Ovis aries: one gene and its partners. The protein of the gene in region 1 interacts with the protein of each later gene in a biochemical or structural test. Links are inferred from orthologs where the notes say so. Each region holds a gene or a part of one and is shown in the gene's direction. Other genes may lie near its edges. The genes, in order: PRPF40A, MECP2 and U2AF2.

Region 1 (10,331 bases):
TCCAAAATAGTTTCTTTATGTAAAAGTAGATTTTACTTTCATCAAAGAGCAAGTATCAGTTGCACCTAAACACATTTGTGATAACACTGGTGGAAGAGTTTTTTATATTGCTATTTTTAACATATATTTTTATTCATGTTATACCAATATTTCCAAAGTCCTTAACGATGGCTTTTGAATATGTAATGAGTTCATTGTTGTTGTCCCTTTCCCCTAGATATTTTTAGATGAACTGCATGAACATGGACAACTGCATTCTATGTCATCTTGGATGGAATTGTATCCAACAATTAGTTCTGACATTAGATTCACTAATATGCTTGGTCAGCCGGGTGAGATTCTTCTTTTTCCTAAATTGTAGTTATGATAGTTGGAACGGGCCACAGGGAAAGGTGGTTGTGTTTGGGGCATGGGGTGTGCTTTCTTTTGTTTTATAAACAAAAAAGTAATTGCAGCTCTTTGATTAGAGCTAGCTTTTGACTTCTTTAGTTTTTTCATTAGGATCAACTGCACTTGACCTTTTCAAGTTTTATGTTGAGGATCTTAAAGCACGTTATCATGATGAAAAGAAGATAATAAAAGACATTCTGAAGGTAAATATATACTATTAACTTTTACTCGGGCATATTTTTTTTAAATAATACTATGTTCTTTTTGTCACTGATATTAACAAGATTTCTGTTTTTTAGGATAAAGGATTTGTAGTTGAAGTAAATACTACTTTTGAAGACTTTGTGGCAATAATCAGTTCAACTAAAAGATCAACCACATTAGATGCAGGAAATATTAAGCTGGCTTTCAATAGTGTAAGTTACCATTCTTACTGTTATAAACAACTAGATTAATAAAACAGTTCTTAATACATTTGGCTAAAGATACTTAAGTTGTATGTAAACTCCTGAAATAAGGGAATAGGAATAGTATTTTACAGAGTAGTGGACACGGTTTCAAATAAGGTAACAGATAATATACTTAGATAATGAGTGATAGTAAATTCCTTTGCTAAAATTAATTGACCCTTACCTTATAGATGATGGGAGAATAATGAATTTAACACAAGTTAAATTGTACTACATATATATAAATATGTTTTCTAAAAGTTACTAGAAAAGGCAGAAGCCCGTGAACGTGAAAGAGAAAAAGAGGAGGCTCGGAAGATGAAACGAAAAGAATCTGCATTTAAGAGTATGTTGAAACAAGCTACTCCTCCAATAGAATTGGATGCTGTCTGGGAAGATGTATGTATACTTAAAAATTTTTTCCTTTTACAGTTGAAAATAAAAATCTTTTTCTTTCTCATAGCTACAGAGATAAACTGAAGTTATTTGAAGATTGTGAACTCAGCTGTGATGGCATTTAGGAATACTGGAGAAACGGAAATAAAGACAAGGGGGCTGGGCTGTCAATTTTCACTTGCTGTTTTTTTAGTCATATTGGTATATTTTTCTCAGTTTTCATATTTTTATTGCATATCTGAATTTTTCAGATCCGGGAGAGATTTGTAAAAGAGCCAGCATTTGAGGATATAACTCTAGAATCTGAAAGAAAACGAATATTTAAAGATTTTATGCATGTGCTTGAGGTAATTTTAGTTTTATTGTAATTGGCTGATACATTAAAAAATATGTAAAACATTTTTTTAAATCAAATTTAGAATGATCAAAGTGTTTTTCCTAAATTACACTACTTTTATATACATGTACTTAACTATCTGGGATGATTAGGGAATGGTTTATTCTATAGAAATTGCTTTTAAGTGAAACACACTAGGCTTGCATGAGAAGGTAAAGATCTGTTCTGTGAAGATAGTTCATATATGTTTCATATTTATACAGTGTTACAGAAGTTCATCAATTTAGGAGTCACATGGAATGATTAATAAACCTGTAAAGAACTTAGAATCTGTAAAGCAGATAGGAAACGGTTTTAAGCATATTTCAAATAGAGGTGTTGGAAGCACAGGGATGTTCTGAAAAACAGTAAGTTTTTGCTAAAACAAGTAATGATAAAATTGCAAATTATTCCACTAGCTGAATTAAGGGTATTTTGATGAAGATTTCAGATAGTCACTTATAGATAGTAAACATGCTAAATTGACCAATAATAATTATTATTTGGTGCCCATGTTATGTTTTATAAATATTACATATACGAATGTAATCCTCACAGAAACCCTGTGAAGTTACAGATGAGCAAACTGAGCCCAAGAGGAAAAGTAATTTGCTGTGAAGGGATTCCAATGTAGGCTTTGACTCTAGGGCCAGTGCTTTTACCAAGTATGCTTTGCCATCAGTTATGGATAAACTTATACTTCACAGCAGAGTGAAGTTAGCATATACTTAAATTTGTAATGTTCATGGTCTTTGGGAATAGTAGGTAACTTAATTGTTGATGATTCTTTGGATTTATTGTCCTTGATAAGTATCAGTGTTGACAACAATTTGCTCTGTTAACATGCCCCACATGTACCATATGTTGTCTCTCAGCTGCCTTTAGATCTAGTGCTATTGGCCTGTAGATCTTTTCTACTCAGATCAGCAGCATTTGCGTTGTCTGTAAACTTGTTAAAAATACAGAACGTCAGGCCCCATTGGCAGAAATGTATCAGAATTATTATTGTTGCAAGATTCTTAAGCACAGGAATGTACATTTAATTTTGAGAACCTTTGCTGTAGTGTAGTGTGTTAATATTTTCCCCTAATTCAGGAATGTCCACAACAAGATTCTTTCATGATCTATGCTGGTAAAGTGATGAGGTCATAAATGGAGCTGATGACCACATAGGGAAGAGCTGAACATACCAGAAAAGGATTTGGACCTCAAAAACGGGCGTTGAGGTAGAAAAGGAAGAAGAGTTAACAGTTAGTGACATAAAAAGTGAGAGTCCCTGGTTTGGGAGTAGGGGACTTCTACTGCAGCATTTCCTCTCTCCTTCTAGCCTGATCATTGTTCTAGTAAAATAGTTAAAATCCATAGAACATTTCCTCTTTTGATTTCATGTGTAGTTAGATTGCCTTTGGATATCTTAAGTTTGACTAGGAAGGGAATGCTCCTTGAAAAGAAAGTAGATTTTGTATTCAATTTCTGAGACTAACCTCCTTGACAGATGGCTCTGGGATAATCCTTTATTTCAGTGGTGAACTTAGCTCACTGACAAAAGGCACGTTCATCAAATAAATACTATATAATTATATTTCATTGTTTTTGAAAGTAGTATGACTGTTCTGAAGACATATACCTTTATAGAGGGTATCGGTTGTCCCCACTGTACCCAAACCATTCTCATTGCTGTAAAATGTATTTTATTAATACTTTTAAACCTGTGTTTAGATGTGAAATGAGTACGTATAGGATAGTTAAAATGTTCTCTTCGCTTTTAAGTGATAGTAACTCTTTGCACAGTTTCAAGTTGGGGAGTACATCCTAAAAAGGCAAAATGAATGTCGTTTTTACTCTAAAAAGAACTTACTTGCAAAACTATTAAAAATTCTCTGTGATCTGTTATCTAAAGTGTGAGCTTTTGTAATTTTTTTCTTTTGCCCCTGTAGCATGAATGTCAACATCATCATTCAAAAAACAAGAAGCATTCTAAGAAATCTAAAAAACATCACAGAAAGCGCTCCCGCTCTCGATCAGTAAGGAAGTTTATTTCAAATGGTACCATAAGTATATTGAAGTATTTATTACCATCATTATGAATAAAATTATTTATGTTGTGTAGGGGTCAGATTCAGATGATGATGACAGCCATTCAAAGAAAAAAAGACAGCGATCAGAGTCTCGTTCTGCTTCAGAACATTCTTCTAGTGCTGAATCTGGTAAACATATCTTTTAACTTGATTAAAGTCATTGGCATTTGGATGTCCTCAAATTCTGACACTTTTCTTTTCATGCTGCTTAGAGAGAAGTTATAAGAAGTCAAAAAAACATAAGAAGAAAAGCAAGAAGAGAAGACATAAATCAGTAAGCAGACTCTTGATTTTTATACTGCACCTAAGCTTTTGCCCTTAGCTTTCTCAGTGGCAGTAGACATTTCTGCTTGGTCCTATACAGAGTTTAGGTGAGCACCTGAGCTCAAGAGTTTCATAGTTGTGGTTCACCTTAATCTTGCAATAAAATCCTTTGGTGAACTTGAAACAAATAGTAATCTTAGAGAAAGACCCGTGTGTGTGTGTGTGTGTGTGTGTGTGTGTGTGTGTGTGTGTTATAGCTATTGTTGAGAACCACAAGTTTAAGCAACTTTCTCTTCTATGCTCGGTTCTTGGTCTTAGGTACACATCAAGATACACCTAATCTTAGGGATGAAGGTACACCTAATTTAGTGACCCATTTTTAGTGATAATTTACCCTATCAGACTGTCATGTTTCCCATAGGAAAGACCAGCTTGTTGCCATGAATCTTTGGAATGTTTTAGATTCCTTGAGGTTATCAATTCAGATTTCACCACTCTCAGTTCACTTCAGTCGCTCAGTCGTGTCAGACTCTTCGCGACCCCATGAATCGCAGCACGCCAGGCCTCCCTGTCCATCACCAACTCCCAGAGTTCACTCAGACTCACATCCATCGAGTCAGTGATGCCATCCAGCCATCTCATCCTCGGTCGTCCCCTTCTCCCCCTGCCCTCAGTCCCTCCCAGCATCAGAGTCTTTTCCAGTGAGTCAACTCTTCGCATGAGGTGGCCAAAGTACTGGAGTTTCAGCTTCAGCATCATTCCCTCCAAAGAAATCCCAGGGCTGATCTCCTTCAGAATGGACTGATTGGATCTCCTTGCAGTCCAAGGGACTCTTCACGAGTCTTCTCCAACACCACAGTTCAAAAGCATCAATTCTTCTGCGCTCAGCTTTCTTCACAGTCCAACTCTGTCATCCATACATGACCACAGGAAAAACCATAGCCTTGACTAGACAGACCTTTGTTGGCAAAGTAACGTCTCTGCTTTTGAATATGCTGTCTAGGTTGGTCATAACTTTTCTTCCAAGGAGTAAGCGTCTTTTAATTTCATGGCTGCGATCACCATCTGCAGTGATTTTGGAGCCCCAAAAAATAAAGTCTGACACTATTTCCACTGTTTCCCCATCTATTTACCATGAAGTGATGGGACCAGATATCTTCATTTTCTGAATGTTGAGTTTTAAGCCAACTTTTTCACTCTCCACTTTCACTTTCATCAAGAGCCTTTTTAGTTCCTCTTCACTCTTCTGCCCTAAGGGTGGTGTCATCTGCATATCTGAGGTTGTTGGTATTTCTCCCGGCAATCTTGATTCCAGCTTGTGCTTCTTCCAGCCCAGCGTTTCTCATGATGTACTCTGCATATAAGTTAAATAAGCAGGGTGACAATAGACAGCCTTGACGTACTCCTTTTCTTATTTGGAACCAGTCTGTTGTTCCATGTCCAGTTCTAACTGTTGCTTCCTGACCTGCATATAGGTTTCTCAAGATGTAGGTCAGGTGGTCTGGTATTCCCATCTCTTTCAGAATTTTCCACAGTTTGTTGTGATCCACACAGTCCAAGGCTTTGGCATAGTCAGTAAAGTAGAAATAGATGTTTTTCTGGAACTCTTTGCTTTTTCCATGATCCAGCAGATGTTGGCAATTTGATCTCTGGTTCCTCTGCCTTTTCTAAAACCAGCATGAACATCTGGAAGTTCATGGTTCACGTATTGCTGAATACATAAATACCATGTTAAATGTGGGTGTTCTTAAATATTACCAATACAAGGTTTTTTTCCCTAATAGCATTTTAATAAAGTAACCATTTTAACATTGTCTTTTATTTACAAAGGACTCTCCAGACTCAGATGCTGAAAGAGAAAAAGATAAAAAAGAAAAAGACCGGGAAGGCGAAAAAGACAGAACTAGACAAAGATCAGAATCAAAACACAAATCACCTAAGAAAAAGACTGGAAAGGATTCTGTAAGAATTTAGAATTCTTCCTCTTTGTATCTACCAGTTAGCTGCTTTTCACACAGAGCAGTTTTCTAATGTATGTCATCATGTGTGACCCAATTTAAGCATCCTAAATTTCATATTCATTAAAAAAATAACATGGCATTCTGTCACTGTTGTTTAACCCTCTAAGAAAGAATATGTTGTTCTAGCTTTGTACATTCTCATTAAGAAATGCCAATGGATGTTTTCTGCCTAATTTAAGAAACTCAAATTGGGTTTTCCCTCGATATGGCATCGTTGTAAATCCTGTTTCAACACGTAGCTTTCCAACAGCTTTTAGAAATAATAATCATTTGGGAGGGAAGAGGTGAGGGCAAAAGGGGATCTTATAAGCCAAATCCAGTGTTTTAATATTGAATTACATAGTCAATCCTTAGTTTTCCCCCATATGTATGTGTGTGGCAGAGCATATAACACAAGCCTTTCATGCCACAAATTCTGTGGGCTTAGCAAGTATAATGCCTCTGAGCTACCAACTGAGAGTTTAAGCTGTGTAGTAAGTCCTCGTCCTCCCTTAGGATTTTCTCCTTCGGTCGGAATAGGGTGGAGAGGTGTTTGTTTTCAAACAGCACTGAAGAGTCTGATGTACATCTTTAGTGAGGAATGATTATTTCCTCTGTACCTACTTAGTGACTTAAGTGTCCTTACATTAGATTAAATGGGATCCCTGAAGGGTGATGGAAAATATAGGTGAACACTCTATGTTTGAAGAGTTGAGTTCCTTCTCAAAATGTTTTGTGTGGTTTTTGTTGTTTTTAAAGTTTTTCCAGCCTAACTTGTCCTAATAACTCTGGGTACAATATAATAATGCTGAAAAGATAATACTTTAGTATAAAGCACAGGATAACCTAGATTCTGAAAAATTAATGAAGAATACTTAGAAAATGAACACCCAGCTTCCATTAAATGGAAATAAGATGATTCATATTCAGTTATGTAGAAGGAAGGAAAAGAAATGGATACATACTATTCTCCCTGATCTACATATCAAACTGAAAGTAAACACCTTAGAAGAGTTCCGTTGTGAGAGAACTGTCTCCCCTGGTTACTTACTCCACAAGTAACCAGGGAGTATTTGGTTAATTCATTAGTAGGCTTTTGGGAAAGAAATCAGTCTTTAATCAGTCTGTGATGCCTTAGTTTTTGTGGAAGAGAATCCATGTAGATTTTGTATTCTTTATTCAAAGGTTCACTACTATTTACCCTTTTGAGTACTGACACAATCGTATTCATTGTTGTTTTTCAGGGTAATTGGGATACTTCTGGCAGTGAACTAAGTGAAGGGGAATTGGAAAAGCGCAGAAGGACCCTTTTGGAGCAACTGGATGATGATCAATAAATTATACCAAATATGTTTACAGTATGATTTAAAGTCTAATTCAGACCAGGGACTCTATTTTAAGTTCAATTGAAATAACACTGGGTTTTAATTATATCACAGGAAAAAAAAAAGTGCATTTAAGTATTGTTATTGTGGACTTTATAAAAGCAGAGGAAATTGAAAATAACTTTTGATTCTGTATCAAGAATCATATTTTCATACAGTCATAACTGTCTGTCTGTGACCCTTTCATAGGGCACTGCAGGATGGATTAAAGGTGGCAATTTACTGATAACTGCAGGTGTCTCTACTTTATTCTAAAGTGTAAGTCATGAGGTGATTTGATTTACTTTATAGAAGTTGGATTTTGAAGATATAATGGAAAAATTTTGATATCTAGTAGTACAAAAAAAAGCACCAGCAACTGATAAACTGCTTTTTTGTGCACTACCCAACTGGTTAATGATATGATCTTTTATGGTAAACTCAGAAATAAGTGTTCATAATGGAAACCTGGTAGACCCTTAACTATAGTGGTGCTGCTCAGCACTGCTATAATAAAGCCACCATTATTTTTTATGGAACATCTGAATACATTTTGAAAAGGCTACTGTGAGGGCATTATTTTGAGGTGATGTTTAAAAAGTTAACATCAAATCAAATTGTAAATTAGCTTAAATATATTGCCTTAAGGACCTACTAAAGAATGTGCCACCAAACTTTAAGTGATGGCTGCAATATCCTTGTCTAAAACAAATCAATGTTGACTTCAGCAATTTCTTTAACAGTTTTTTTTTTTTAATCCGAACTTTCTCTTGCTTTTTTTCATTGAGGAAGTCTTTTACCTTCCCTACTCACTGAGAAGTATTGACTTCGTGGTACACATTCTAAAGCATTTCTGATTTGAATATTTTTGTACATTTTTATCAATTATTAAATCTTCTCTTCTAGTGTGTACTAGTATTTATTTCTACTGCTCAGCTCTGAAAAAAAAATTGTATGATTCTTTAAAGGTTAAGATACTAAACCCCTAAAATTTTGCTTTATCTAACCCACATAGCTAAGTTACTTTCCTTTTTTAATATTTAAGAATATTATAAATCATACAGGCCCCTCTATTTGTTTTTGATCTATGAATTTCCTACAGAATACTTTAAGAAAGGCAATGGTTTGAAGCTAGAATACTTTTTACATGCTAACTTTTGAAGGTTGGTAATGTAATTTATACTATTTTCCTTCAGTGCAGGAGATTTTTTTTTTTTTTTTAAGTAAATAAGTAAATTTTAGCACATAGTCTTTGGTATTACCTTAGGTATTTTTTTATTTTGGGCATTTGGGGCAATCCTGTTTCACGTTGGGATTTAGAAGAACAAAAAGTTCATTTTCCCTTCACCATCCTAATGAATTTGAAAGTGGGACATATTGGGATGACTTTTCCCATCTCTGCCCCCTATGTTTCAATTAAATCTAGTATCCACTCTTGAAAGCTGCAGAAGGCTGGGGGAGTCCTGAACTTTTCTCAATGCCAAGTCATATTTCTGCTGTGAAATATGACATGACTTTGTAGAAAGTAAAAACCACTATCTTCAACAAATGCAAAGCCAGTTTCTTGCTTGACGTTAGTCTCCTATTGTATATTAGAACCACAACATATAACAACTTTATCAACAGGCAAGTTGCCTAGACTTAATTTTCAGAGGCCCCTTCATAATAATAGTTAATATTGCTTATCGTGTCAAACACTTAACCTGGACATCAAAGTAAAATTTACATACGATATTGGCAGAAATATTGGTGGTGTTTCACAGAATTTAGAATCTGTAAAACTTTTAATTACTTCCATGAATCATGATTTTTTAAAGTAGAACTTTAAAGTTTTTAGTTTTCCTATTAAACTATTGACATGATTTAGCATATTCCAAATTAACTTTCTGTATTACAGAGATACTATCTTATCACAACTTCAGATTCCCATAAGACAGTACAAACTCAAGTTTCCTTATTGTTCCAACCATGAAAATTATTTGACCTAAAAACAAGGCTAATGAGTTGTAAAGCAAAACTACAACGTAGTTTTTATAAAGTATGTAATTGAAGTGACTATAATCCTGTAGTGATCCCATCAAATGGCATTAAGTTGCCAGACAGATGCTATGGCCTGGGATATAGGTGATGGGTAGATTTTATTAAAATAAGAGTTATGTGTGAATATCTTTAATCCATTTCATTAGGTTTCTGGGTCTTCAGTCTAATAAAGTTGAAATGTCTTAGAATATTGGTTTTAATAGAGCTGAACAGTTATGTTCAAAATGTGTTCAAACAGAAAGTATGTTTATATTCAGATAAAGGGAATTTATACTTTTCAGTTAAGCCTCAGACTTAGGTAAATGTTAAGGGCTTATCTTCCCTCATTATCATTAATATTAATGCACTCTTGGATTAAATTCAGTAATACATTTAATATCATGCTTAATAATCAAAATTAGGACTTCAAATATTTTTTATTCCTTCCAGTATAAAATTCCAGTATTTAATTCCTATGTGGAAAAATTGAATTGGTTTAAAAAGTTAATGACATATGAAGAATTCTTTGCACCTCTCCCAAGTGTATTTAAACAACATAAAACTTTTAAATAAAAGCAGTGGTCCCAACATTTTTAATATAGTGATGCCATTTCATTATCATTACCCAAAGGAGCGTCAACCTATAGATTATTCATGTGTTTCAACAATGAAAATAATTTTTATGCCTCCCAGTAAATCTGAAAATACTCAAAGTATCACAGCCATTTCATCTTGATCTTTGCTAATTGCACCCCGTGTACAACAATAGTGTGAAAGGGGTTGGCCTAGAGTAAAACAGTCTTTTAATTCACAGTAGTAAGACTGTTAAACTTCAAATATTTGTATACATTTTTCTGAAAAGAAGGTCCATAGTTTTCATTCAGTTACCAGGGGGCCTGCATCTTGTGTTAAGAATCATTTGCCTAGGTGATCCTGGTTTTCTTCCAGTGTTAATGATCAACTGAGTGCTGACTAGGCAGCCACTTTTATTTTTG
Region 2 (10,331 bases), on another chromosome or scaffold:
AGTGGCAGTGTGTTTTCAAACTTGCTTATCTTTCCCACATGTAGTGGTTTCATGCTGTGACGAGGAGACTTACCGTATGGCACTGACTGCCTTCATTTGGGGAGGGTTCTATCTTTGGGCGGCATGAACTGTGTTTTGTACAGCTTTTCAAAGCATAGTTTCTTGCATCTTCTAAAAACTGGGCTATTAAAGAATACACTGAGTTCAGAACAGGGCCACTGAACTTTAGGTTCCACTGTTGAAGCCTTCAAGCAGAACCCCGTCCCTCTTCCTCCTCTGCAGAGACCTCTGAGACCATCTTGCAGTGCCAGTTTGATTGCTCTCAGATCTTTAAAGGGACCAAAGCTGGAGACTCACAGTGCTGCTGCCTTGATGATTCGTGCAGAGAAACCTCCTGGATTCTGAGATGCTGTAGCTCGTACTTGACTCTTCGGGACAGAAGCAGCCTCTGCCGGGAGGCCTGTTCTCGCCTCGGGTCCCAGACTATTGACGTGGAGAAGTAGCCACCCCCTCATCCTTCCAGTTCGTGGCTTCGTAGTGAGGCTTGGGCTCCTGACCGGACTCCACGAGGTGGCTGAAAGGTGGAAATGAAAGGTGCTGACACACGCATCTCCCAACATGGGCCTGATGCAAGCATGACTGAAATTAGGAAACGTCAGGATATCGCTGGGGCTCTGGAAATGTCCTAGAGCTCACTCTGGGGCAGCCTGATTCCACTTCAAGGGAAGAATACCTTTTCAGCTACAGCCTTCACCTGGTTTTGTGGTCTGTCTGTCTTTAATATGAAATCCTTGGGGGTTGAGTAATCCCACCTGAGTGTCCATGGTCTGATCAGTGCAAGTGCCAAATGTCAGCGATCACACCCGTGGAATTCACAGGAGCCTTGGATCCAAAGAGTGCCTGGTACGGCTTACCAAGGCTGCCTCCCGCTTGATTACTGGAGGTTCCTTTCATTAGGAAAATACAGTCAGTTCTTGCCATCAGACCCCTTGGGATACAGTGATTTGGACTGAAGTCAAGATTCCTGCAACTCTTTTTCCTTTGCTAGGTCAAAGCAAGGATTTGATGTAATGTTTTTTGTTTCACGAGCATAATTAGCAAATGATTTTATTTACATAAGAGCCTTCTCTCAGTCTTTATAGATGTTTAAGATTTGTGTAGCTCTTCTGCTTCAATGTGATATGTCATTTCCTCCCCAAATCGTGTGTTTTGGTAATCACACATTGGAAAACAGAAGTTGTTATGGGAAAAACTGGATCAGAGTAGACCATGAGAAATGTGTGTGATTTGGTAATCAGAGCTCACAAAACCAGTAACCATTGTGGTTAAAGAAGCACCAGGGCTCACTGGAGGCTCTATTGGCATTTGCAAGTGGCATCAATATCAGCTGACTGGTTTTTGCCATGACCCCAGATTGGTGCTTCCTTCCCTGCATTGTACAGGTTAGTTTTTCTGTTGATATTAAAAGCTGGGTCCTGGGCAAGGCTGCCTTTGGCAGTGATTTTTTTTTTTAAACACAGGGAAACATGTCAACACTTTCTTTCACACTCATAGCTGTACTATCTAGAGCATAATGCTATTGAAAACGTTGCAGTGCTTTGAGCCACTAAAAGAAGCCACTTCTGCAAGGTTTCCAGCCTTTTCTCTTAATATATCCACGTGAAGTGAAGGCATCCTCTTTAATTGTGAGACAGCTTGGGTGAAACAGCTTTGAAATCTTGGTGTCGGGCAGCACAGTTTCCAGTCATGTTGCTGTCACCTCTGCCTCTGCAGACATGCTGCCCCTGTGCCCCAAGCAGGCACGCCATCACCCTCCTGAGGCCTGAAGGCTGACTCTGCTCCGAGCATCCATTTGGGGCAGTTGGAGCCCTCAAGGACTTCAGCATCACCTCCCCGGCTGCCTTCAGTGAGCCAGTCCAGTGGCCCATGTCTTCAGTCACCAGCCCTTTTTCTGCGCAAGCTGCAACCCATTCTGAAGAGTCCATGCCTGCCACTGCGTGGGATGCCCCTCTATTTCCAGGCCTTTCCTCATGGCCTCAGGAGGTGCTGCTATCACCGCTTATCCCTGTCCCCGCTTTTCCCTGTTCCTGGCTCTTCTACTGGTCGGCCATGGAGCGCCTGCTGGAGTCCTCGCCAAACAGGACTCCCTCCCTCCCTTCCTGGCCTCTTTAGCTTGCATATTCCTTAGTCTCTGGCCAGTTTGTGAGTATTGGTCAACCTTTGTAAGCACTGTCTTCTATAGCATCTTCTGGAAGTCGTTCAGTCCGGCAATTTTGGTAGTTTCAGCCAGAGGAGTCTCTGCAGGTCTCTCTGCCTCACTGCGGGGAGCCGATCCGTGGACCTGCACCCCCAGCATGACCGTCCTCTGTGGCCACACACTCTCCATCGCTGTAGGCGTCACTCTCGACTTTCCTGGGCCCTCAGTGGCCACTCCAGCACCCTCTCCTGCCAACCCCAAGGTCCAGGCACCCATAGTCGGCATGTCCTGGCTGCCTCCTTGAAGCTGATGGGCAGAGGGTGCCATCTTCCCTTGGCACACGGTTCCTGAGCGAGGGGACGACAGGAAAGAGGACGTGTGTGCTCTCTGGGGCACTGTGGGGAGCAGGAAAGGCCTCTCAGAAGTCGAGAGCCAGGGTGACACACGGGGCTTACCCTGACTCATTGATTCCTCCAGGGAGGGGCTTCCCAGTGGTGGCAGGATAGAGCTGTTGCTGGGGTCACCCAGGCCCACCTGGTCTGCCGTGCCCAGAGCACTCATCATCAGCCCTGAAGACCCGCTGTGTCTGGCCTTCCTCTGTGCCTGGGACAGAGGACAGGGTCACCCTTGGCTGCCTCCCCTCATCCGCTCCCCCAAACGGGGAGCACTTGAAGCCTAGAGAGTGAGTCTGGTTCTACCCTGGTGTCCCCATCCAGAACTGAGGCTGGCTTTGGGCAAGGGCCGTCGACGAGCACATGTCATCTCAGATATGACCTCAGACAGGTAACCTTGTCTGCTTATCTCTGCTCTTCTTTTGACCTGTAACATTGAAGAGTTGATCAGGTGGATACCCACAAGTCTCAAATGGATGAACTTAAGAACTAGGTACTCAGTTCTCACGGTCCTCTCTGGGGCAGTGTGTGTGCACACGCATGCACACAGAGATACAGTCTGATGAAAGGGGGGATGAAGAGAGGGCTGTTTGGTTTCTTTGAAACTGTGTTTTAACAAACCCCATAACCCTTCTGCTGGGGGGCCTCAAGTATTTGCCTGGCCTCCCTCCTTCAGGTTACCCTGCCACCGAGCAGGCAACTGAGCCAGGGGTGACTCACTTGGATTACCTGTTTGGCACCCTTTTTGCCTCCAGTTCACACTCAGCAGAATGGCTTCCAGGCTTCTTTGTGGGCTTTTATTTGTTTTCAGTAGCAGTCAGAAAAAGTACCAAACCACCTCTGTGCCCGTCAGTCCACAGAATTGAAAATCACCATATTTTCATAGCAGCTTCAAGTAATTTCAATTTGAAAGAGCCAGGACGTCATAGATAGTTAAAGGCTGTCTTATTCCCATCATTGGTGCTATTGAAAACTCATTTATCGATTATTTAGGTGAAAGGGCAGGTTTTACGTTATGTCTATGTGATTGTAATAAAAATCTCTCAAAGCCCATGCAATTCATTTAGGCCAAGTTGCAGTCTGGGCACAGGGGTCTCCCTACTTGGTAGCCAAAGAATTCTCTCCTCCCCTCCTTGAGCTTCTTTTTAGTTGTTCCTTTGTGTTGAGGTGGAGACTGCTTATAATGCGGTGTTTGCTGCTCCTGCAGTGCCTCCTCGCAGGGCTGGCTGTCGCTCCACCCTGCTGCTGGCCCAGGTTTCCCTATCCTCAGTTGGTGACACTTTTCCCCACACCGGCCAGCTGTGTTGCTTCACCTCCTGGTCACGTCCCGAGTCCCCACTACCTACACCTGGGACTGTGCCTCGAGAGCCCCTGGAGCAGTCTGCCCTGCCCTGGGCATCGCCCCATGAGGAATTGCCATCCCCTGCCCCAGATCATCAAGGTGATGCTGCTGCAGGGCTGCTGTGGCATGGAGTCCAGCAGGCCTCAGAGTCCCCCAGGCCACCTGCTGCTCTCTGGGGTCTCCTGCAGGCCACTCTCCACACAGCAGCTGAAGGAATCCCATCACACCCAGAATCAAACCCGACACAGCTCCATGACCCCTCCTTGAGGCCTCCCTGCTGCCTAAAACCTTCCTCATAAGACCCTTGAGACCCTCCCTCACTTTCTGTCTTTCCCTCCTTTTCCCCCCAACATCGCCAAGCGGGTTATTTTCTTCTCTGAAATCTAAACAGTTCATGCTTTTGGATCTTCACTTTCCCCAGCACAGGCTGCCCTAGGACCTGAGCCAGCCTGTTTCCCCTCCATGGATGCTAGGCGTGTTCTAGTCTCTTCCCTTCTGTCTTGATTTTCTTTTTGGTTATGTCAACTTTTACATGATTCGGAAAATGAAATTCTGGTCCACACACCTGGCAAGTTCTGGCCCTGTGCCATTCCTCACCTCAGTCCCGCCTACCCCATGTTGGACTAGTTCTGTGCATTTCTGCCCTCTGCTTCCTAAAGTCTCTGTTTCTCCCCTGGAGAATGGCCTACCGTGGACCCCTTCCTGGGGGTCCCACCCTGAGTTTCCCACCCTGGGGTTCAGGTTACCTGGCTCTCCGTGGTGTGCACATGTCAGTGTTGGCCCAATAGGTCTCGGGCGGTGGCTGTCTGGCTTGGCTGCAGTCTTGGGCCAGTAAAAAGAATGCTATCACCAATAGCATTGTGCTCAAATGCAGAATGTTGTTTTCTGTTTCTGTGGGTATGTGTTCTTGGTAGATTTCTAGAAGGGCTGGCCCTAGACGGCATTGACACCCTTGTTGGTACCTAAGGGGCATTCCTGGGGCACATGCTTCATGCCAAAGCTCACCGTAGTTACAGTATCCACAGATGCACATGAGGGCTCTGAAGAAGCCAGACTTGGCCATCAGGGCCCTGTTTTCCTGTGGCCTGGGACTGTCTGGGTTCCTGACACAGAGCTAAGCCTGGGCTTACCCTCGAGCTCTGCCGGAGACAGCCAGGATAGGTAGGAGGGCGAGGTGTGCCCTTTCCATGCCCCGTCTCCCTGGGCCCGACCTGTGAGTTCTGGTGCAAACTCACTTTTGGGGACTGAGCCATGTCATTCGAGTCTTGCGGCCAAGGCAGGCCTTGGTGCCTTGGTGGTGGTCTCCAGGGTATGGCCAGCAAGGGAAGTCACTTGGGGTGGGTTGTTGTGAGCCTCACGGGCCCCAGGAGGCTCTGGGGCTGAGATCTGGAACACAGATGAGTCTGGCTCTTTTCCAGGGTGAGTTTCTAAGAGAGGGCTTTGCAGGTGACTGGCTCTGAGCCCACAGTTCTGGTTTCCAGGCCTCCCTGGCCCAGGTGATGCTCTCACCCTGTTGGCCCAGCCACGAGAGCAGCATGGCCAGACTCTAATCCCAGAGTCTGGAGCCTCACAGTAACCACTGTCCAAGGAGATAGGAGGGGGTCCTACCGGGTGGGACCCATGCATACCGGAGGAACTGGTCTGTCAGCATGGAGGAATGGGGAGGCACCCGCCCTGGAATCAGGCACGTCCCAGTGCCAAAGCCCCGCGTGGTCAGGAGAGTCTGGTGAGAAAGACTCACCCAGCAGGGAATTGCTCCTCTTCTCACGTGAGAACCCTGGGCAGTAGTGTCTGGTTGCCCCATCCCACTGTTTAGACAATGCCTTTGTGACTCTTCTCTGTCTAGGGTGTTGGTACCCATTGTCAAGATAGGAGGAGACTGAGGCACAGGATGTTGAAGTCACTTGTGCAGATCCATGTTTGGAAATGGCAAAAAAAAAAAAAAAAATCACGATTTGGGCTCGGTGTGGCTTACTCCAAATCTGCAGGTTTTTCCTCAACACTGCACTCGGCACCACCTCCCCAGGGGCAGTGTTGGGCTCTTCCCATCACCAAGGTGTATTGTACGGTTTTCATTGAACACCCATTTGAGAAAACCCCAAACACAAAAGCTTAAAGTAACACTTATGCTTAAAAACACAAAAACTTAAAGTAACACTCCCTGGGGAAGAGGAGCCCCCTCAATTTTGGTGAGTAGGTCCCTCTCCAGCGGGTGAGAGAGCCTCTCATCATCCGTCCAACCCAGAGGCCCTAGCTCGTAACACCGAGAAGCCATCTTGGCAAGCCTGCTAGAGATGGGCCTCAGGGTGACCACAGTGTCGGTAGGGTGCTGTGGGCCATCACTGTCAGCAGCCCCAGGCTCTCAAGTCATCTGTGAAGGGGAAGGGCATTTCAATCTGGGGGACGCTAGTAGGACAGCCCCTCTCCTGGGGCCCTGCCCATGTCAGGGCACCCCAGACCTGCTGGCGCCCACTTTTTTCTGCACACCAGTTTGTTCCCTGTGATACTGACATCCTTGTTTAACACTCAGGGAAGAAAAGTCCGAAGAGCAGGATCTCCAGGGCCTGAAGGACAAACCTTTGAAGTTCAAAAAGGTGAAGAAGGATAAGAAAGAAGACAAAGAGGGCAAGCATGAGCCCCTGCAGCCAGCAGCCCACCACTCTGCCGAGCCAGCAGAGGCCGGCAAAGCAGAGACCTCAGAAGGGTCAGGCTCGGCCCCAGCCGTGCCAGAAGCTTCTGCGTCCCCCAAGCAGCGGCGCTCCATCATTCGTGATCGGGGCCCCATGTACGATGACCCCACTCTGCCGGAAGGTTGGACCCGAAAGCTTAAGCAAAGGAAATCTGGCCGCTCCGCTGGGAAGTATGATGTGTACTTGATCAAGTAAGTGAGGGTGATTCCTGTCTCTCCAGAGCAGGGAAGGCTAGTGGTGGTGGTTGGGAAAGAGTCAGGGATCACCACTAAGAAACTTTTGGGGACCCCTTGGAGTGTTAGCTCCTTGCGGCTCATGGATCAAGAAAGTGTGTGTGCGTAACCCACTTCCGGTCGGGTCTTCAGTAGTGACCACTGCTGGTGGGTCTGATCAGGTATGCTTGGAATGACCACCTGGGGAGGTCACTGCCCTGAGGGAGATGTCCATCAGGGCCTTGTCTGGAGGAAGAATAGCACTGGGGACACAGAGTTCTGCCATTCATACTCTGCTGATGATTTCCCAGCAGAGGGGCTGTCCTCAGGACCTGGGAACCTCTTCTTTGTGGGAGAGTCCTTCTGTGCCAATACTTCATGAGCCCTGAGAAATACAAATTCACAGGGTTCAGTCTGTTGCGTGAGGCGTGCTGGTAAAGGGGGGCTGTCTGATACAGCCTAGAGAGAGCCCCAGATGGGCTCGGAGTACCTTTCCCACTGTCCCTCTGGCCTTTGTCCAGCTGTGGGCTGGTGGTTGGGTGTTACCTGTTGAAACAGAGTCACTTCCTAGCCAGATATTTAGAGGACAAGTGTGACTACGTTCATTTCACTTGTCCCCCTTAAATGACTCCAGACAGGTTAGCCATTTTGGAATTCACTCGTACAGTCTCATTTAATTCCAGTAACTCAGATAAAGCATCATCCTACTGGCGAATGAGGAAACTGATTCCTGGAGAGTTCAGTCTGGCAGGTAGACAGGGTCCCCGGGCCAGACCCCTTTGGGGGGCTGAGGAGTGCAACTCCCGGGGGCATCCATGTAGCAGCAGGCCACGTGGGCACCTATGGCCATCAGGCGACCCGATTGCTTCCTGTATAAATGGGACCATAGCTCCCTAATTTTAGCTCATCTCAGCTTCTCTTAAATGTCCCTCTTGGTGAGCTGTATCATCGGGCATGTCAGTTGCAGAACATCTCCTGTCAGAGGGCTCACCATCCACCTTCTCCTGTGCCCCACCTCCAGCATTGCTCTGGAAGCTTCTAACCTTTCTTTGTGTGTCTCCGCTTGTTCCCACAGTCCCCAGGGAAAAGCCTTTCGCTCTAAAGTGGAGTTGATTGCGTACTTCGAAAAGGTAGGCGACACCTCCCTGGACCCTAATGATTTTGACTTCACGGTAACCGGGAGAGGGAGCCCCTCCCGGCGAGAACAGAAACCACCTAAGAAGCCCAAATCTCCCAAAGCTCCAGGAACTGGCAGAGGTCGGGGACGCCCTAAAGGGAGTGGCACCACGAGACCCAAGGCAGCCGCGTCAGAGGGTGTGCAGGTGAAAAGGGTTCTGGAGAAAAGTCCTGGAAAGCTGCTCGTCAAGATGCCTTTCCAAGCTGCGCCGGGCAGCAAGGCAGAAGGGGGTGGGGCCACCACCTCGGCCCAGGTTATGGTCATCAAGCGCCCCGGCCGGAAGCGAAAAGCGGAGGCCGACCCCCAGGCCATTCCCAAGAAACGAGGCCGAAAGCCAGGCAGTGTGGTTGCTGCAGCTGCCGCCGAGGCCAAAAAGAAAGCCGTGAAGGAGTCGTCTATCCGGTCCGTGCAGGAGACCGTGCTCCCCATCAAGAAGCGCAAGACCCGGGAGACGGTGAGCATTGAGGTGAAGGAGGTGGTGAAGCCCCTGCTGGTGTCCACGCTTGGCGAGAAGAGCGGGAAGGGACTGAAGACCTGCAAGAGCCCAGGGCGGAAAAGCAAGGAGAGCAGCCCCAAGGGGCGCAGCGGCAGCGCCTCCTCGCCACCCAAAAAGGAGCACCACCACCACCACCATCACGTGGAGCCCCCAAAGGCCCCCGCGCCTCTGCTCCTGCCCCCGCCCCCACCCCCGCCTGAGCCCCAGAGCTCCGAGGACCCTGCCAGCCCCCCTGAGCCCCAGGACTTGAGCAGCAGCGTCTGCAAAGAGGAGAAGATGCCGAGAGCAGGCTCGCTGGAGAGCGATGGCTGCCCCAAGGAGCCTGCTAAGACTCAGCCCGCGCTCGCCACCGCGGCCCCGGCCACAGAAAAGTACAAACACCGAGGGGAGGGAGAGCGCAAAGACATTGTCTCATCCTCCATGCCAAGGCCAAACAGAGAGGAGCCTGTGGACAGCCGGACGCCCGTGACCGAGAGAGTTAGCTGACTTTACGCAGAGCGGATTGCAAAGCAAACCAACAAGAATAAAGGCAGCTGTTGTCTCTTCTCCTTATGGGTAGGGCTCTGACAAAGCTTCCCGATTAACTGAAATAAAAAATATTTTTTTTTCTTTCAGTAAACTTAGAGTTTCGTGGCTTCAGGGTGGGAGTAGTTGGAGCATTGGGGGTGTTTTTTTCTTATCGACAAGCACAGTCAGGTTGAAGACCTAACCAGGGCCAGAAGTAGCTTTGCACTTTTCTAAACTAGGCTCCTTCAACAAGGCTTGCTGCAGATACTACTGACCAGACAAGCTGTTGCCCAGGCTTCTTAGGGTGTGCCTGCACCTCCCTCCCACCCAGTCCCCCTACGTGGTCACTAGGGACAGAGAGCACTTGAGAAGACACTCCTGGTTTGGGGGCCATCGCTACCCCAGTCTCAGCTCTCCTCTCCCCCCACACCCTGCCCAGCCTTGAGCTCCACCACCCCACCCTCCAGCCCCCCTTATGCCCACCCACGTCGGGACCAGGAGGTCCAGGGCAAAAGAGACAGTTGGATCCTTTCGAGACGGTGGAGACGGCCAGTGGCTCCAGCCCGTGTGATCCCACCCATGGGGGTACACAGACGGCTCCCCACCAGCCCCAATCCCAAATCGACCAGGACATTTCACAGGATGGGGACATAGCACCTGTCGGCCCCGGTTCTGGCCCAGCTAGGAGGGAGGCATCCTTTGAGCCCCCCTGGGTGTCGACTGGCCTGCGCCAGAGGCGACATTGGCCCAGGGCTGGCCTCCAGCGGGTAGCGCTAGACAGAGGCCACCAAGGCCACGTGCCGAGGCCCCAGCAGGCTGGCCCAGGCTACAGCTGGCGGAGTGCCACAGGCCAGGTAGAAGGCATCCCTAGCTGCTCAGAGCAGTTGTGGCCGCTAGTTCGAGCCTTAGTAGACAGGGCCAGGGGCCAGGGGGAAGGCAGGGGAAATGTTCTTCCAAAACTTTTCCAATTCTCAACTCCTTTAGGGACAGCTTAGAACTATTTGCACTATTGAGTCTTCATGTTCCCACTTCAAAACAAACCTGCTTTGCGAGCAAGCTAGCGGGCTTGACTTGGTGACCCTTTGTCCCTCAGGCCACTAGACGTGACAGTGTTGACAACTACCTGGATCTGTATATACCTGCGCTTGTTTTCAAGTGGGCTCAGCACATAGGGTTCCCACGAAGCTCCGAAACTCTAAGTGTTTGCTGCAATTTATAAGGACTTCCTGATTGGTTTCTCTCCTCTCCTTTGGTTTCTGTCTCCTTTCATTTCAGCCTTTTTATTTCTCCCCTTCCTCCCTCGTCCTCACTGCTCCCT
Region 3 (10,880 bases), on another chromosome or scaffold:
TGGTCCGAGGCCCCGGGACCTCCCTTGGGTGAGCCTAGCCTCTCTCCTCCAGTGAAGAAGGACAGCGAGGCCTTGGAGATTTCCATCCCCTTCGATGAGACGCCCCACCTGGACCCGCAAATCTTTTACAGCCTGAGCCCCTCTCGGGGGAACTTCGAGGGTGAGTGGACTGGAGGGGGACTGAGTCCCGTGGGGGTGCAGCCAGGGTCCTTGAGACCTGGGGTGTGACCAGGGCCGACCGCCCCTAGAGCCGGCGGAGGCTGCTTCCCCGACAGCGGCCCTGATGAACGGCATCCGGGCCCAGCTGCACCTGGCCCTGGAGAGGAACTCCTGGCTGCAGAAGCGCATTGAGGACCTGGAGGAGGAGCGGGACTTCCTGCGGTGCCAGCTCGACAAGTTCATTTCCTCTGCCCGCCTGGACGCAGGTGAGGGCGTCCCCCCTCCCCAGGGCACCGGGCTCCACCTTCCTCAGGGACATGGTGCCCTTGCATTCACACTCCTCCTTTGGTGGCTCTCTGTGGGCTCCAAGCCCAGCCTCCTTCCCGCTTGAGTCCTGCTGATGGGCGGGACTGTGGCCTGATTGTCTGGGTCCTGAGCACTGCCCCGACCCCTCCCCACAGGGGCTTTCCTGTCCCGAATCTTTAACAGTGGCCTGGAGGATCTAGCCTCTCCTCGACCTCGGTGGTGGTCAACCCCTGGCTGGCTGCCTCGAAAGCTTCCACTTCCTCTCTGGAAAGTCATCTGAGAGTTAGGGCGAGGGCCCTGCAGCTTTTCTCAACACCTACCTCATTGGGGATCCCTGTGCTCTGGCGCCACCTCTGGCCTGGGTTGCTGGGGTCTACCACCATCCGCCCCCCCCATGCTGGGGAAACCCACGCAGGATGGTCAGGGGCAGGGGCCCCTGGACTTTCTTTGTGGTAAGACCAGCACCGGGCTCCGAACCCGCTGTTAGAGGGAGGGCCTGCATCAGAACCTGGGCAGCTTCCCGGTCTGGGTGAGGGCGGGGGCATGCCCTTCCCGGGGGGACTAGACCTAAAGACTATTTCTCTTGGGGTCTGAACCCCACGCCCCCAGCGAGCCCTTGCCTGCCCCTACTCTTCTGGAGGCCTTACTGGGTCCCCAGAAAACTCCACTGTGAGAACCCCACAAAATCACTCTTTCCTGAGGTCCCCGTGGTACTGGCCTGGTCCTCTGGGCCTCTCCCCCAGACCTCTTGCACCAAGTCTGAGCATCCTCAGGCCACGCTCCACCCAGGACCCCCAAATCCCGGCCTAGTGTACTGTGTTCAGCTGGGCGTCTGTGCTGCACTTCCTCCTGGGAGACCCCCTTTCCCGGGGACTCTGTGACCTGCCGCCCGCCACCTCGATGTCCTGTTCCCGCAGTTCACGTGTGTGCGTGTCTTCCTGCCCCTCTCCAGACGACCACTGCCGGGGGAAGCCCGGGCCTCGGCGGGCCGAGGGGGACGGCCGAGGGGGGACAGGGGGTGAGGCCTCAGACCCCGAGTCAGCCGCCTCCTCGGTCAGCGGAGCATCTGAAGAAGGCAGCACCATGGAGAGGAAGAGGCAGAAGCAGAAAGGAGGCCCAGGCCGGCGGCGCTTCGGGAAGCCCAAGGCCCGGGAGAGGCAGCGGGGTGAGTGGGGGACGCGGGGGCTGGGGGTCTGTATGAGCTCCCTTCTCCCCGCCCCTGCATCGGCAAACAGACCAGATCAGACCTGGTTGACTGTCTGGGCCTCCGTGGGTGGTCCTGGAGTTAGGGCCTCAGGCCCCGGGGGAGGCAGCAATGGCCCAGGAGGACTGGGAGGAACGCAGCCCTTCCCCGCACTCCGGCCCTCCCCGGGCCTGCCTGTCTCCCCTTCTCCCACCGTGTGTAACTCACAGCTAGCCTCCTGGTCTTTCTGGTTCCACTTTCTGCCTCCTCCCGCCCCCCCGCCGCCCCCCCCCCCCGTCTCTGTACCCCCAACTCTCTCCCCTGCCCTCGGCTTGCAGTGAAGGACGCGGACGGGGTGCTCTGCCGCTACAAGAAGATCCTGGGCACCTTCCAGAAGCTGAAGAGCATGTCTCGGGCCTTCGAGCACCACCGAGTGGACCGCAACACGGTGGCGCTGACCACGCCCATCGCGGAGCTGCTCATCGTAGCCCCGGAGAAGCTGGCCGAGGTGGGCGAGTTCGACCCCTCCAAGGAGCGCCTGCTCGAGTACTCGCGCCGCTGCTTCCTGGCCCTGGACGAGGAGACCCTCAAGAAGGTGCAGGCCCTCAAGAAGAGCAAGCTGCTGCTTCCCATCACGTACCGCTTCAAGCGGTGATCCCACCCCACCCGGCCCGGCGCCCGCCCTCCGGCCCCTGCTTCCTCGCCCGGCGCGCGGGGCCGGCGTGTGCACGGGCGGTGGGCCCCCACGAGGGCGGCTCATTTCCACTCGGACCGCCACCCCCTCCCCAGGCCCCCTGTATATAGGTCTGTCCCCTGGGCCTCTCACAGCCCTAGCGTCCACCCTGCCCTCCGCCTTCCCTGGGTTGGGGGCTGTCCTCCCTTAGTCCTGCTTCCAAGAGGACCACCATCCAGGGCCCGGTTCTGTCTTCCCTGACCACTGGCACCCCCGCATCTGAGCGGCACCGTCCTGCCCTCGCTGGGCCCTCCCTCCTGGGGAAGACTGCGGGACCCTGCGGGGCGAGGCCACTGTACATATCCCGTCCGCACCCCAGCCCCGCAGCGAGCTTCCCACCCGCCTTCCGAGACCGCCCGAGTCCACACGAGACAGAGCTATTAAGATAATTTAAATTAAAATGATAAAATTTGGAATAAACTAGGCCCCGGCCTTTTCCTGGGCAGGGGGTGGCCGTTGCCGCGGGGACGGGGGCTCTGGAGGATTCCGGAGCGTGGACCGTCAGGCGGGAGCCGGGGAACTGGGCGAGAAAGGGTGTAATTAGCTCCCGCAAAGGCAGGGGTGGGAGGGGAGGCAGTTGTGCCCTGGGGGCGGGGCAGCACTTCGGGGAAAGTGCGTGAGCACCACCCGCTGGGCTACTGGGACCAGAGGCGCGGCGGCAGGAGGGACTCCATGACCTCCGACGGAGGTGGCCTGCCGGGGCAGCCGGGAACCTCCGAGCTGAGGAGTCCGCCAGGAGGCGGTATCGCGAGATTATCCGTCTCCCGGAAGTGTCCTCCGCGGCGCCTGCGCGGCGGGGCGAGCGCGCTTGTGCGGTCGCCACGGCAACTAGTAAAGAGGCGGCGTAGCTTAACGGTTGGGAATGCAGTGCCCTCCCCGGGGTAAGGGGAAGACTCGCGCACGCGCGCTGAGGGCTCTGGAAGCAGGGGTGGGGGGGCCTTTCTGGAGCGGCTGAGAAACCTCGCCTCAGACCGACGTCTAACGCAGGCGCAGAAGCCCATCTCGCCCCCCCCGCCTCTTTCACCCTGCGCAGGCGCACAAAGCCGCGCTGGCAACCTCCGCAGCGGCCGCGCGCACCCTTTACCCCGCTGGCTGCTTTTGTCTCGCGCAGCCTTCTTAGGCTCTCCACAGGAGCGGCCCTTCTTTTCCTCCCCTTTCCCCACCCGGAGAGTCAGGTGCCGAGAGCTGGGACGCTGCCCTTCTCCGTTTCCTCTCCCCTGACCCACCTCGCCTCTGTCCTCCCTCCCTTTTCGGTTCCCGGAGCCGGAAGGAGCCGAAGCACTGACGGAAAAAGCCGAAGCTGTCACCCGTGAGTGGGGGGTCTTCCCGAAGTGGTGGCGGAAGGAGCCGAAGTTCTCCGGGAGGGGAGGAGGGTGCCACTGGAATCTCCGGAAGGAACCGAAGTTTGGAAACAGCTAGATCTCTGACTGGGTCCGAAGGCGAGCGCCGGAAACCTTCGGAAAGTGCCGACTCCGGGACGGTTAGGACTGTCGGAAGTAGCCGATTCGCTTGGACTGGGCCGGCGGAGAAGAGCGGGGAGAATCAGCGCAAGCAGTCAAAGGGACGGTTTGAATTTTCAGAAGAAGCCGGATTCTTAGAGGGGGCTGGGTACAGAGGAACGCAAGGAACTCCGAAAACATCCGAACGTGGAAGAGCTAATATCCGAAAAGTTACGAAAACTTGGGAGAGTCCGCGAAACCCTCACTTCGGGTGTTTTCGGAAGCAGCCGTAGTCACCGCTCCGGACGCTTTCCTCTACGGTCCGGAAATAGCCGACGCGTTTCGGCGCCAGACCCTGGGGGGAGGGGCACCTCGCGGGCGCGCAGGCGGTGAGGGGCGGAGCCGGGGCGGGGCGGGGCGGGCAGCCAGGCCTTGATTAGGTAGGAGGCGGCGGAGCGCCGGCGGCGGCCGGAAGTAGCCGAAGCTAGCGGCGGAAGTAGCCGAAGCGGCCGGAGCGGGCGCGCGGCAAGGCGAAGCGAAAGCTGCACAGCGCCCTACGCGGCCGCCTCAGCATGTCGGACTTCGACGAGTTCGAGCGGCAGCTCAACGAGAATAAGCAAGGTGAGAGTGCCGGGGGAGAGGGGCAGCGGGCGGGGCGGTTCTTGGCTTCCCTCCGTGTCCCCCGCCATTTTTCCCGTCGCTTCCCCCTCTTCTTAGGGCCGCGCGGCGCACCCCCCCTCCCGTCCCGCGGCGCGCGCCTCGCTCACGTGACCGCCCGGCGTGCCACGCGCGGCGGGGAGGGGGCGGCGGGCGCCGACCCGGACGCATGCGCACCGCGCTCCGCTCCGCGCCTAGAGTGGTCGCGTTGGAGGCGGCGCTGGCGCAGCGGGCTCGCCTGGTGTCACCTCACGGATTTATGCGTTTTTTAATCTGGAAAGGGGATTGTATAGATGAGTCCAGCAACTCCTTTTCGCCCGACGCCCTGGCACTTCCGCTTCCGGCTGGTTAGGCCTGGTTCTCCACGCCCCCTTTGTTCCAAAATGGCGGTTGTGGGTCCCCCTTCACGTGGGCGCTGGCAGTGCCGCGTGGGGAGCACCTCTCACCCCGGCGCCTTTGCCCTTCTTCCTGCTCACCGGCCGCCGGGACCCCGCGGGCTGCTAGGGTTGGCGGCGGTGGAAGAGGCCGCATTGTCCGTGCTCTGTGCCCCTCCCGCACCCCTGCACCCCTTCTTGGGGCCCTGGCTCCCCCGGCGGTCGCAGTGCGGAGTGTTTGTCTGTCATCGCTCCCCACGGCCTGCATGATCGCGCCAGCCTCCTAAATCTCAGCGTGGAGCGGATTCTTGGGCACTGAGCGAGGAGAGGGCTCGTTTCACTTCAGAGGGTGGGAAGCTCGTCCCCCTCGGGAGACGGCGAGTCCAAGCACGGGGCTGTGATTAGTTTGGGGACTCCAAGAACGTTAGCGCTGGGAGAGTTGTAGGACAGTTAGCAGATTTCCTTGCCGCCTTAATCCGGTTTGAGAGTGAACAAATTTGGGTCGAGGGAAGGTGGCGGGCTTGAGGCTTACTCTGCTTGTGTCTGGAACGCTGAGTGAGGGGCGCTGGGATTCACCTTTCGGCCCAGCCTGAAGTTGGGGAGGGGGTGGCTGGATCAGTAGACTGTGCCTGGGGAAGCGTACCTACCCACAGGTTGTCTGTCCCATACGTGATGCACTGCTTAACAGCACGGGCTTTGGAGGGGAGCAGACGATGAGTAGCACCTGATGAGTGCCTGAGTATTTGTGGGCCTATTTTTTTCTCACGTAGGTCGCTGGTGTTTTTTTTGGTCGCTAACAGATGATAGTGATAATAGTTAAGTTTACAGCACCCACCACAGTGTGTCACGCACGTTGCTAAGCTCTTCTGCAGTTTTCCTAAGAGGGTTCTTGTAACAGCTCCGCGAGGCTGAAGTGATTTCGTACCCTTCGCAGAGGTGGAAACAGACTCAAGAATAAAAGCTTTCCAGATTTCAGCTGATGAGAGGCAGAGCTGAGATTCAGCGGGCAACATGCCGACAGTGTGTGGCATGTGGCTTGGCCTCTTTAAAGTACCCAATAAGTGAACCTTTTCAACGGTGAAATCGTTCATAATGTGCGGGCTCACACGGAAATGTGGACGCGCGTTTCCAGCAGATGTACCCAAGCCGTACACCTGGGGGTGCCCAAGAGCCTCATTTAAATAACAGGAGAAAACAGGTTTAGAGGTTTGGTTGCTGTTGCACGGTTTTGTGCAGGAAGCTGAAACGGCCCCTGAGTCTGCGGGGCTGCGGAGTCGCGTCCTTCCAGGCTGGACAGCCAGAGCTGATGGAGCTGCCCTGGGGCCCTGACACCCGCGCTCTGGTCTCTGCCTGGGTGTCCCCTCTGCCCTGGGAGGCCAGGCCCTCAGCCTGGGCATGTCCCTGGGGTTGGTGAGTTGTTCCATAACGACGTGGCCGTGGCATTTAGAGCAGCCAGAGCTCCCCTTCTGTTCTGATGTGTGCTGGATCATTCTGTTTTTGTTTTTGTTTTTTTTTTTTCTGGGGTGGGGCAGGGGTTTCCCTTGCTTTATGGGGCAGCTTTGCCCACGTGCTGCTCTGCCCCTGAGTCTGTCTTGGCGGTCCTGCCTCCCCCAGGCCTCAGCCCCTGCGACCTGGGTTCCGTGTTTGTGTCCATGACACCCGGCGGGCACCAGTGCTTACTGTGTGACCACCTCTCTCTGGTTGTCTGTTTCTGAGCCTCAGCTGCAGGGAAGGGTGTCTCCCCGTCTTAGCAGTGGGGAGCCAGAGGCCCAGAACCGTTGTCCATCCCCTTCCCAGGACCAGGATGCTCCTCACACTGCTTGCCCGTTCCTCCTGGTGCCAGTCTTGGATATATTTTTCACGTTTAGTCTTTTCATCTTTGAGGAGGCAATTTCACCATCACCAGTGGTTCCAGCCAGGTCCTAATGGGTCTGCCTGTTTCGTGTTTAGAGGTATTGCCCCTGCCTAGCTGCCCTTGACCTTTCAGGGTTCATATTCAGGCTTCACCTGTATCCAGGCTTTTTGGCCAGGGCAAGTCACATGACCTCCCTAAGCCTCAATTTTCTCGTCTGTTGTGAGCGAGATTCCCGCTCCCAGCAAGTGTTTCCCCACAGTAACCCGGGGAGTAAAAGCAGCAGAGTCTGGTTTTAGACAGGATCTGAGTGTTTGCAACGAGGTTTTTTTCTTTTCTGGGTGCGTATGTAGCTTTAGTGTTAAAACTCATTTATAAAAGTTCGCGGGTAGTTGCTTCGGAAGAGCTTGAGAGTTGAAGCAGTACGCCCGAGGCTTTGACAGCCTGTCCTTACTGCCCCCGCCTCCTTGTAAAATGAACTGGAGTCTGAGGGCTGGTTGAGCATAGTGGAGGAACCAGTGGCCTCTTTGAACCGAGGGACTGGACTACAGACCGCGTGGGGCAGAAGCCGCGCGCCTCGGAGGGTGGCGGGCTGCTGGGCAAAGGAGGGGAGGTCGAAGGCCCCGGCTGTAGCGGCCGTGGGGCGGTCTGGACGAAGGGCCCACCCAGCTCCTGCGTCCTTGACGCGGGGGTGGTGGGCGGGGCCTCCCAGGAGGGCGGTCCGCTTGGGGGCGGGGCTGGACGGGTGGGTGCCCCCCCCCCCCCGGGGCTGCCCGGCCCCGCCCGGCCTGACGCGGGCCCGAGGTGGGGCGCGGGGCCGGCTGGTTGAGGAGGAGTCTCCTGAGGGGTCGCCGGGTCCCTTCAGGAAAACATCACTGGGTCTCTTGATTCCCCAGCGTCTAGCCCTGCCCCTCTCAGGGACGACCCTGGGTCAGGCCCCTCAGCCCTGGAGGGGGACCAGGAGCCAGCCTCCTCTGACTTCTCTGGCCCCCCAGCTCCTCCTGAGCAGACTCAGGTACCTTACACCCCGGGGCCCTGCCAGGCCCTGTCCCCTCAGGTAACTGCTCCCGCCCGGCCCCCAGGGCCCTCGGGCTCCGCGTGCGTGGACAGGAAGCCTGCCGCCCCGCCCTCCTCGAGCCCTTCCCCGTGGGGGTGGCCTCCCGGGCAGGGGCGCGGCCTCGGGGGCGGGCGGGCCGGGCTGCCCCCGCCCAGCTCACGGCCCTGTCCCCGCAGAGCGCGACAAGGAGAATCGGCACCGCAAGCGCAGCCACAGCCGCTCCCGGAGCCGGGACCGCAAGCGCCGCAGCCGGAGCCGCGACCGCCGCAACCGGGACCAGCGCAGCGCCTCCCGGGACAGGCGGCGCCGCAGGTACCAGGGCGGCGGGGCTGCGTCTGGGCCGCCGGCCCCTCTCCACGCGGGGCTGGGGGCTCTGCTGTCCTGTCTGGCCGCCGTCGTCTCTCTGCGGGGGCTTCCGGGGGCGACTCTGGGGTCAGGGCCCCGCTTCCCCCGTCTGGTCTGGGTTCTCCGTCGGCTTCCCGGGCTGCGCTCTGCCTCCCTGGGGCGGGACGGCGTCTCTCGGGACAGCTCTCTGCTCGGACGCCTCTTCCCTTCCCAGGCTGCCCCCTGTTCTCTCAGCCCCAGTGGAAGGGCGGGTGGGTGGCGCCCCGCCTCCTCCCACCTCAGCCTCCAGCTGGAAGCTGGTCTGTCTGGCCCTTCTTCCCTTCCTCGTGGCTGGGGGGCTTGGGGGCGATGCCCTGCCCCAGCCCTGGGGCTCAGTGCCCTCGGGGGGGTGCGGTGTGCGGGGAGACGAGGGTCCCCAGTCACCCCTCCCCACACCTTTCCCTCCCACCCCCAGCAAACCTTTGACCAGAGGCGCTAAAGAGGAGCACGGTGGATTGATGTGAGCTTCTCTTCTGCCCCTTCCCCCACGCCCTCCCCCGCCTCCCCGCGCACCCCGCCCTGTCCTCATCCGCTCGCCGGGAAGAGTCCCCTGCCCAGAACGGGTCGGCCCTGATTGCGTCCTCTCTCTCCTTGAGAGCCGAGCCGGGGACCGAGGGGAGCCGGGGGGGCTGCAGGCCCGCCTTTGGTCAGACTGAGGTCGCCCTGCCCCACTCTCCCCTCCCGCCTCCCCCAGTCGCTCCCCCCGCCACGAGAAGAAGAAGAAGGTCCGCAAATACTGGGACGTGCCGCCGCCGGGCTTTGAGCACATCACCCCCATGCAGTACAAGGCCATGCAAGGTGGGCTCCACGCCTGGGCTGGGGGCGGGGTGGGCGAGGCCCTCAGCAGACCCTGCTCCGACAGTTTGTCCTCTGACCCCTTCTGTCCCTCTTGAAGCTGCGGGTCAGATTCCAGCCACTGCCCTCCTCCCCACCATGACCCCTGACGGTCTGGCTGTGACCCCAACGCCGGTGCCCGTGGTCGGGAGCCAGATGACCAGACAGGCCCGGCGCCTCTACGTGGGCAACATCCCCTTTGGCATCACTGAGGTACTGCCCTCCCCTGCCCCCGCTGCCCCCCCTTCCTGTGCCCGCTGTTCCTCCCTCCGTCCGTTCCCTCCCCCAGCCTGCACGGGTCAGACTCTGCGCCTGCAAGGCCCCCCGGCCCCCTCCCCGACGGACGATGGAGTTGAGCCAGCCAGGGGCCGGGCTGGGTGGCCCTCTCCTCCCTCCTCTTCCCTCTCCCATCTCCCCTCCCCAGCCTCCTCCAGCTGCCCAGGGATCAAGCACACACATAACGTACCCACGAGTCTGTGGTCCGAGTCCGTGTGGAGAGAGACAGAGAGGGAGACACGCACACGCACACACACGCAGACGCACGCCCCAGCCTCTCTGACACGCCTCTTGTTCTCTGCCGCCTCCCCGTCCTCTCCCCCACCCCTCCATGGTTGCTGCTCTGATTTTGATCGCCCTGACCTCCCCGCCTTCCCCACCGCTCCTGTCCCCTCCCCTCTCCCTACCCCTTCCCGTGGCGCCCCCGAGAATCCCGAGATCAAAGAGTTGTTTCCATTTCTCTTTAAAGTGAAATATTGTGGGGCTGAGATCCCTCGTAGCAACAAAAAGTTTGCTACCATCGGCGAAGGCAAGTAAGGTCCATTCTGACTTTCTCAACCTGCACTTTGCTGCATTTGATAAACCAGCCCCCGACTCCAGGACCAGATCCCTCCACATCACTCTTCTCTCCCCCCTCCCCCCCCCCCCCCCCCTCCCCGCCCCCCCTCCACCCTCCGTGTGCTCCGCCTGTTGATGCTCCACTTCATGCCGTCTCTCTCCTGCTGTCGCCACTGGATGTTTCCTCTACACTTTCCGTCTGTTTTCTCGCCTCTCCCTCGTTTCCCGCTTCTTCTGATGACCTCCCTTCTTCCCCGGTTGGGGCCCCTGGCTGTCTCCTGTGCTGCCCCCTGCCCTTGTTTCTTTCATCTTTCTCCTGCGTTTGTCCCAACTACTGATCTCTGCCCCACCCGGACTCCACTGTCCCCCCCCTCCCCCCACCCCTCTGTGTCTCCCTCTCTCACCCTTCCCCTCCTCTCTCCACCTCCCCTCCCCGCCCCCCCCTGTCTCCTCTCTCCTCTGCAGGAGGCCATGATGGATTTCTTCAACGCTCAGATGCGCCTGGGGGGGCTGACGCAGGCCCCTGGCAACCCTGTCTTGGCCGTGCAGATTAACCAGGACAAGAACTTTGCCTTCTTAGAGGTGAGCAGGCCTTGTTCCCACCAGGCCCTTCTGCAGTCTGCTCGCCACCCAGCTGCGGTCTTGGCACCCTTGGGTGGGCTCTGACCAGCCACTCGCCTTGCCCCTTACCAGCTTCATTCCTGTCCTTTCTTTAGTTCCGCTCAGTGGACGAGACCACCCAGGCCATGGCCTTCGACGGCATCATCTTCCAGGGCCAGTCGCTGAAGATCCGCAGGCCTCATGACTACCAGCCCCTGCCGGGCATGTCGGAGAATCCCTCTGTCTACGTGCCTGGTGAGTGGGCTCTGGGGGGCACTGAGGGGTGCACAGGGCCAGCCCGGGGTCTCTCAGCCTGTCGGAGGCTGGGCAGCCCTAGGGTCTTGGGAGAAGTGGGGTGCGCTGGGCCTCCAGGTCAGTGCACGCGCCAGAGCCCATGTGGACGCCCACGTGCCCGTGGAGCTCCTCCTCGGGCCTGACGGGCGGCTGTCCCTGCTCTCCTGTCTCGGG

What was found.
Region 2: the proteins of PRPF40A (region 1) and MECP2 form a complex in vitro, tested with the Homo sapiens proteins (2 studies listed by BioGRID, with this or other methods). The link is inferred for Ovis aries from reciprocal best matches to the Homo sapiens genes PRPF40A and MECP2.
Region 3: the proteins of PRPF40A (region 1) and U2AF2 form a complex in vitro, tested with the Homo sapiens proteins (2 studies listed by BioGRID). The link is inferred for Ovis aries from reciprocal best matches to the Homo sapiens genes PRPF40A and U2AF2.

What each region holds. Positions count from the first base shown.
Region 1 is NC_056055.1:156,954,961-156,965,291, forward strand, and holds part of PRPF40A (pre-mRNA-processing factor 40 homolog A), read left to right. Parts: intron 1-217; coding exon 218-332; intron 333-489; coding exon 490-593; intron 594-689; coding exon 690-806; intron 807-1,100; coding exon 1,101-1,238; intron 1,239-1,486; coding exon 1,487-1,582; intron 1,583-3,548; coding exon 3,549-3,635; intron 3,636-3,721; coding exon 3,722-3,818; intron 3,819-3,901; coding exon 3,902-3,963; intron 3,964-5,783; coding exon 5,784-5,915; intron 5,916-7,197; coding exon 7,198-7,290; 3' UTR 7,291-10,331.
Region 2 is NC_056080.1:80,260,292-80,270,622, forward strand, and holds part of MECP2 (methyl-CpG-binding protein 2), read left to right. Parts: intron 1-6,461; coding exon 6,462-6,812; intron 6,813-7,908; coding exon 7,909-8,992; 3' UTR 8,993-10,331. UniProt on the Homo sapiens protein: Chromosomal protein that binds to methylated DNA. It can bind specifically to a single methyl-CpG pair. It is not influenced by sequences flanking the methyl-CpGs.
Region 3 is NC_056067.1:62,666,134-62,677,013, reverse strand, and holds the start of U2AF2 (splicing factor U2AF 65 kDa subunit), read left to right. Parts: upstream 1-4,283; 5' UTR 4,284-4,392; coding exon 4,393-4,441; intron 4,442-7,936; coding exon 7,937-8,072; intron 8,073-8,559; coding exon 8,560-8,604; intron 8,605-8,838; coding exon 8,839-8,942; intron 8,943-9,039; coding exon 9,040-9,191; intron 9,192-10,277; coding exon 10,278-10,394; intron 10,395-10,528; coding exon 10,529-10,667; intron 10,668-10,880. Other genes in the region: CCDC106 (coiled-coil domain-containing protein 106), read left to right, coding at 53-160, 249-425, 1,418-1,630, 1,987-2,303. UniProt on the Homo sapiens protein: Plays a role in pre-mRNA splicing and 3'-end processing. By recruiting PRPF19 and the PRP19C/Prp19 complex/NTC/Nineteen complex to the RNA polymerase II C-terminal domain (CTD), and thereby pre-mRNA, may couple transcription to splicing.